2 linked regions of the Tribolium castaneum genome follow. The protein of the gene in region 1 interacts with the protein of each later gene in a pairwise test. Links are inferred from orthologs where the notes say so. Each region holds a gene or a part of one and is shown in the gene's direction. Other genes may lie near its edges.

Region 1 (3,038 bases):
GTGATAATTCCCTAGTAAATCACTGGCAACACGAGAATACAGCGCCTCTGGTGCTGAAGTGCGTTACTACCACGGTAAAGCGCCACGTTTGAATAAATTCCTTTTATATTCTGTTTTTTATTATTTTTATCTTACAAGTTTTATTGCAAATTGTTTAAAATAAAAAAAAATATTTTCATTTTAAACGAAATGAAAACATTTTATATTTATTTTAAACAAAATTTGCAATGAAACTTACAAAAAAAGTTGTTTTGGGGTAATAAAACACAGATTTTGTTAACATTTTTATTGTACACTTGAGTAACATAACAAATTAAATTTTTCAAAAAATTAAAGTATTGTATTATTTCTTAATTATACAAAAATTATCAAAAAATTAAATCAGTTAGTGTTGGCATGTTTTGCCTGTCTGCTCCAGACTTAAAACAAAATAAGGCCTTCTTTGCAATGACTTTTACCTTGTCTGTCAGCAAACAGTTGCCCACGCTACGACCACGAGGAGGTACATGCAGTGCACTGACACACTCGAGCGCAAATAAGAAACTTAAAAGTAAATTCTGAAATACCCTAAATCGAGAAAACGCCAAAATTTTGAACTTACAGGATCCTCAATTTTGCAGGCATTCCTCCACAATTCGTGAAGCTTTAGATTCTTAGGGAAGGTGAAGAAATGCTTGTTGGCATGTCCTTTGTTGGGAACATAACCACTGGTGCATCCGGGGTATTTGCAGGAATATTTGCGATAACCAGCCATGACTAAAGTTCGCTTGAGTAGTAGAAATCAAAAATCCGTCACTCCAGCCCAGAGACCAATGCCTTTAAAATAGAAAGAAACACCAATCAAAAAGATGAGGTTATATTAACAAAACAAGAGATACTTATCTTTTTGGTCGGCGCTCAACACCAGGAATTGACTCACTAACGAACTGTAATCAGAATTTTTGCTTTGATTAAACGATGAAACAAATAATTGCTACATACTTCCGGTAACACGTTGAACGATGAGTGACAAAACAACACTTTTGGCGCGATATTTTCGGCGCGATCTTTTTAGCGATCTGCGCGCAAGCGTAGATGTCATTGTTACGTCAAAAAATATAATTTAATGAAATCCCTAATAAATACGCGCTTGTTTTAAAATAAGCAGTCGTCATTGGTCGTCCCTTTTCATCTCCCCGGGAGTGCAAAACCCCCCTGGCCTATACTCTCGTGTTGCCAATGCGCGTATCCCACTTTCACCCCCATGACGACAACCACACAAAACAATTAGCCCCAAATTCAAACCCCCGTATTCCAGCTTTTTTATTTAACTAAAATAAGCCAATATAGGAGTATTACAGGACGCAAAACTTGTGTCACAACAAGTAACTATATTTAAAATAAATTTAGCACAATTACGTGGATTATTCACAATTTCTTGAAAGTCATGTGATCGGTATCAGCCAATCACGTTGCCTCAGCAGATCCACATTGACGAATTTGAAAATCCCCAAGAAATTGGCGCGCATTTACTGCAGTTTCCCTCGCATTTCCAGGAAGTTGTCGGCTCACTTGGTGCACTGCCCTTTGTGTTAATTCAGTTCTGTGTCGTTATTTTCTGTGTTAACCGGCAAAATGTTCGAAGCACGTTTGACGGCGAGTGCCACCTTCAAGAAAATCCTGGATGCCATCAAGGACCTTCTCAATGAAGCCTCCTTTGACTGCTCCGAGTCGGGGATCCAGCTCCAGGCCATGGACAATTCCCACGTCTCTCTGGTGTCCCTTATGTTGCGATCCGATGGTTTCGATAAATACAGATGCGACCGCAACTTAACAATGGGCATGAATCTGGCTAAGTAAGTAGCAAGCTTAAGCACCAATTGTCTTATTCATAATTTTTTCAACAGTATGGCAAAGATATTCAAATGTGCGAACAACGAAGACACGGTCACGATCAAGGCCCAGGACGATGCCGACATAGTCACCTTCATGTTCGAAGCCAAAAAGCAGGAGAAAATCTCCGATTACGAAATGAAACTCATGAATTTGGACCAGGAGCATCTGGGGATTCCTGAGACGGATTTCTCCTGCGTTATTCGCATGCCTTCTGGCGAGTTTGCCAGGATATGCAAGGATTTGGCCCAGTTTGGGGAATCCATCATGATTTCGTGCACGAAAGAAGGAGTTAAATTCTCCACTGGCGGCGATATTGGAACTGCGAACGTGAAAATCGCTCAAACTAACAACTTTGAGAAGGAAGAGGAGTCGGTAACGATCGAAATGCAGGAACCTGTGAGCCTAACTTTCGCCTGCCAGTATTTGAATTCCTTCACGAAAGCTACTCCTCTGGCGTCTCAGGTCCAGTTGTCCATGTCTGACAACGTCCCACTCGTGGTCGAGTACCAGATCCCCGATCTTGGACACCTTAGGTTTTACTTAGCTCCCAAAATTGAAGAGGATGAAAACTAGACTATTTAATTTGAGTCCAATATTCACGTTCTTACTCATTTGTTCACGTTCTGTATTTTTTAAACTAAAATAAAGTGCTACTTTTAATAATTTATTTTTTACAATTTACAACTACGAAACACCAAACTATTAATAATTTTTCTCCCATTCCTCGCGCTCTTCTCTCTCTTTGACCACTTGTTGTACGATTGGGGTCAGGTAAAGGCGGTCTTCTTCCAGTTTAGTCCATTGGTCTTTGGGGAGAATGTCTTTCTGGATTGACAATTGAACGGCTCGAAGGATGCGGTAATTGCGGGCGTCTACTTCTTGCTGTGGCAGTCTGCGAAGTGCTTCCTTTACATCGGCGGTTTCGTCCAAACAGTCGTCTCTCATGAGCCCCAATTTATTGAACCCGGAGATGCTGTACGCCCATTTTTGGAGCGCGCTGCTCATGAAACGTCTCTGAACGAACCCCAAAGACATGATGAGGACAACTAACAATGATAGTAATGAACAGAAATACAAAAAACGTTTTAAAAACAGTACTCGGCTATTAGGTAACAAGTCCTTTTTTATCAAACGTCAATTGAAAACAGTGACTTTCGTTTTGT
Region 2 (4,455 bases), on another chromosome or scaffold:
ATTACTAATTTATAAAATCGAAATATTCATATCATAAGGACCATATATTTGATTAAAATTCTAATCAAAGCAGCCTTTTGGATTGTGTAAAGTTGGCAACAATGAAAGACATGCCAACTCAATTTCAAAGCCATTGAAAACTTAATCAGAAATTTGGTTTGGTTACATTCACTATTATTCATTATCTATACGTAATAAGATATATGTAATAGCTCATATTTATTATTAAATTAAATTAAACCTCACTCAGTAGTGGAATAGTGCAGATATAACTCTAAGATAAAAACTTGTTATTTTAGAAAAACAGTTGTGTAACTTATCAATCACTGAAATTTTTACAAATCTGTTACCATGTAGTTCTTTAAAAACAACTTATTTTTCACCAAAATTAGAAAAAATATATAAAATTTCTTGAACTAAAGGAAATGAATATTTGCAAACACTTCAAATTCGATAAAAAAATTCTGTTTACTTCTTTAGGCTAATGCCCTGTATAATCTAAAAGCAACATGAAGTGTCTCAATGAGCAAGATTTTATCACAGCTGTGCAATTTTAAAATTAGTTGATCTAATCAACTTATTAAAAAAATCTGAAGTGCAATTTTAAATTGTCGTTAGATAATAACCTAGACCACTTCTGAATTCTAAAAATAATATATTATTATTTTAGTAAAAAAACTATTCCAAATAAATTCAATAATATTCTAAAACAGGGTATTTTTGTCATGTTGGTAACAGTCCCACAGCTTTTTAATAAAATCTCTACCAACTATGTATAGTATTAATTTTACCAAATATTAATTGTTGTCTTAGTTTATTAGATAAACACTATTAGCCAGAAAAGTGAACCTATGTCTAATGCATTTTATTTCATATATTAAAAAAATTATTATTGGTACCATATAATAAGTATTTTCAGTATCACCATTCAAATTAGCAAAATTAGACCATACGTGTTGTAAAATTGGGTTTAAGCTCCTTGTTTGGAATTCCCAAAAATTTACCTAAATACGTGATGCATTAGAACCGAATTCTAATCCAACACTTTCTACAATTTCACTGAACTTGCACTGAGGTGAAATACCTCCAACAACAACATTACAAGTTGTTTCTACCATAAACCCATAAATGGTACTCTGAGACCGTTCGTGTTTTTCTCCACTTCTCCGATACAATTTGTATTCTTAATAAAATTGTTTTCTTGGAAAAATCACGTATTCGATCGAAACTGTTGCAACATGATAATTTTCGTCACCACCAAGATCCAAATCTTGAATGATAATGAATTGAGTAATTAGCGATAACATTCCAGCAGTTCAATAAATCAGAGGCCTTATCGTCACCCTGAGGTTAACGCAGCGCAATAGTAAACGAAATCGTTCTTTTTGGCCTCTTCGCCCTGTTGAAACGTCCACTTTTTCGAATCCTTCGAATTCAAAATGTTTTCGCGCGCTTTTTCAACCGCCAACCACCTGTTGAACAACCGGGTATGTAAACCACTATTTTCCCAATTTCTTCGCGAAATAAAAACTCAATTCGAACAAACAAAGATGTTTTCGAGTTAAGCAACCGAGAACGTAACTTGTGTTGGGGCCCAGTGACCTCAAGCATGTATTTTGATAAAATAAGGTTATCACAAATCACTTTTTCTAAAACATTTCTTAAGAAGCTTCGGACGAGTGGTGGACCATCAGTGTGACGAGTGAAACAGTTCGGTGATAACCCCTTTTAAAGTAATTGAGCAAAAATCGGGTATTATTCGAGTTTAAAGTTTTGAGGTTAGCACCACATAACCTTACTTTTTTTGAAACGTTTTACACCGGCTTGTCAAAATGAACGTTTTAACAAGAAGTATAAATTTTCAGAATCTGCAAAGACTCGCTGTGACCCAGTTAAGGAAAATGAGTCAACAAGTGCTGCATTCAAACGTTTGGGACTCCGATCCCGAACTTTTTGCCCTCATTCAGGAGGAAAAAAAGCGACAATTGACCGGTTTGGAAATGATTGCGTCGGAAAATTTCACCTCACTGCCTGTATTACAATGTTTGAGCACTTGCCTGCATAATAAGTATTCGGAAGGTTTGCCTGGACAAAGGTAATTCATTGAAAATTTAAACTATTTTTTTATCTTTTAAAATGACAGGTATTATGGGGGCAACCAATTTATCGATCAGATCGAACGTTTAGCTCAAAAGCGGGCCTTGGAAGCTTACAGACTAAATCCAGAAGAATGGGGTGTGAATGTGCAGCCCTATTCTGGGTCACCTGCCAATTTTGCCGTCTACACAGGTATTTCCCCGAATTAAAACAAATACGTTTGTCATTATTTTTATATTTTTCTAAGGATTGGTTGAGGCGCACGGACGTATTATGGGGTTGGATTTGCCTGATGGGGGCCATTTGACTCATGGATTCTTCACTGCGACTAAGAAAATCTCAGCTACCTCCATATTCTTCGAATCGCTGCCATATAAGGTAATATTTTGAAATATTTCTCGCCTTCGACTTATCCTAATAGCCATCAATAAATGCGAGCCGCATACACTATTTTTTCTACTGGCGAACGGCCATAATTTTTTCAAAATGTCAGTTTTTTTGTAGACAAATGTCGGGCTGTCACATTACATTCCTTTGGTCACATACTGTCCGAACGTATACTGATTAATAAAATTAAAATACTTGAACATTAATAAAAAAATGTTATTTTTACGTTTGACGTTAATCTTTTTTCATGATCGTATAAAAAGTATTTTTAATTGTTGAATCGTACTTAAGCATCAGTTAAAGTAAACGTGTCATTTCCTGTTAATATTTTTTCGAATTATTGATTAGAAAATTTTATCAATGATTGGGAAATAAAAATTGCTATGTAAATCTTACCAATAATGGAATTGTATTATTTTTATTATTTCGTTAAGATTGAGATTGCTGTTGCTAAATTATTATTCTTTTTATGGATTTTACTGTAATACTTGCTATTACTTATTACCTATTTTTGTTTAATATGTATTGAAAAATAAAAAAAATTGCCGATGATTAAGATAAAAATCAATCACTTTAAGATTTACACAAGTGGCTGTTCAGATTTGATAAGATATTTATTTCTACATATAAATTATTTATAAGAAATTACCGAAAATAGGTGTGAAACAGGATGTGTTGAAATGTAAGATGTAAACATTCTGAGCTTTTCTTTGAATTTTGAAGACTTGTAAAAATATGTATATTGTTAAACCTACTTTGTTTAAACCTTTATTCGTTTCGTATTACTTTCATTTTTAAATTAAATTTGGTGATTTTGTTTTGTTTTTATTTTGATGAAGTTCTATCGATGTAAATGCGTTTTTGTGCAATTTTTATGCTAAAACACTTGAAAATATTTTAATTTTTGATATAAAATTTTTTATAAATAAAAAAATACTGCAGCTTCACTTACGTTTCACATAACTAAATAATCACAAATGCACCAAAACACAAATAAAAGTCTGAGAAAATGATAAATTACTATTAATTAATGATACGTCCACCTAAATTGTTTTTTTATTACTGGTTATTGGTTTTGTCTTTGCTATTTCTTCGGACCGTATGTCAATCTAGGTTAACAATATCCAAATTATAATTATGATTGCGAATATACTTTATTTTTAACTCCAAGATGATACTGCATGCCAAAAGTGCGCTTATGTCACAAGTCGTACTTATTTTCGTATCCCTGTCCCTTTCATATTTTATTTTTATTAATGTACACAGTCACACTTATCGAAATTTTAAAATATTTCAATTTTTTCTACAATTCTGTGCATCTGCAGGCACACTATTAAAAAACTGTAGTGTGCTTGGTCTTTAAGATATTGAGTTGGGATTTTATCTGTGTGTAAACTACTATCGGGAGTATCTTTCGGTGACAAGACTGTCCATTTGCATTGTAGCATTACTATGCTGTGACACATTCATTTTGGTAAACTATGAAGCACCGTAACTTGATTTTTGCAAATAGAGCACCCTCTGTATTTTATTACTGTTATTTTTATTATATTATAATATTATATTTATTACTCTGTATTATTCAGCATCTCATTTTACATTTTTTCACCTCTTAATTTTTTTTCCAAAAGTTGATAGTTTAGGTTTTTCTGAAAAATGCACATAAAATCTATTTGATACGAACGTAGTGTATCATGTAAAACAATAAATTCTGACATAACAACATCAGACTGGCGTTTTTTGTACGTCATTTTGTTGTGAAAATGAATTCTTCATGTAAAATGCGTACGAATCTCATCGAGATATAAAAGTTAATTTTTATAAGAAATCATTAAATAAAAATAAAAATAGACAGCACCACCAGAGAAAATAATTGTAAAAGCTTTTCGTAGAATTGATCATGCCACATTAGAAGCGGTGAATTTTTAAAAAGAATTGTCCAATGTATTACTTTATTGCTTAATAAGCTTA

Evidence for each region.
Region 2: the proteins of PCNA (region 1) and Shmt interact in a two-hybrid assay, tested with the Caenorhabditis elegans proteins (2 studies listed by BioGRID). The link is inferred for Tribolium castaneum from reciprocal best matches to the Caenorhabditis elegans genes pcn-1 and mel-32.

Annotation. Positions count from the first base shown.
Region 1 is NC_087396.1:13,479,236-13,482,273, reverse strand, and holds PCNA (proliferating cell nuclear antigen), read left to right. Parts: upstream 1-1,490; 5' UTR 1,491-1,614; coding exon 1,615-1,835; intron 1,836-1,886; coding exon 1,887-2,448; 3' UTR 2,449-2,538; downstream 2,539-3,038. Other genes in the region: cytochrome b-c1 complex subunit 7, read right to left, coding at 2,578-2,910. UniProt on the Caenorhabditis elegans protein: This protein is an auxiliary protein of DNA polymerase delta and is involved in the control of eukaryotic DNA replication by increasing the polymerase's processibility during elongation of the leading strand.
Region 2 is NC_087399.1:11,318,655-11,323,109, forward strand, and holds the start of Shmt (serine hydroxymethyltransferase), read left to right. Parts: upstream 1-1,326; 5' UTR 1,327-1,439; coding exon 1,440-1,487; intron 1,488-1,617; exon of another isoform or gene 1,618-1,778; intron 1,779-1,865; coding exon 1,866-2,095; intron 2,096-2,143; coding exon 2,144-2,289; intron 2,290-2,344; coding exon 2,345-2,475; intron 2,476-4,455. UniProt on the Caenorhabditis elegans protein: Interconversion of serine and glycine.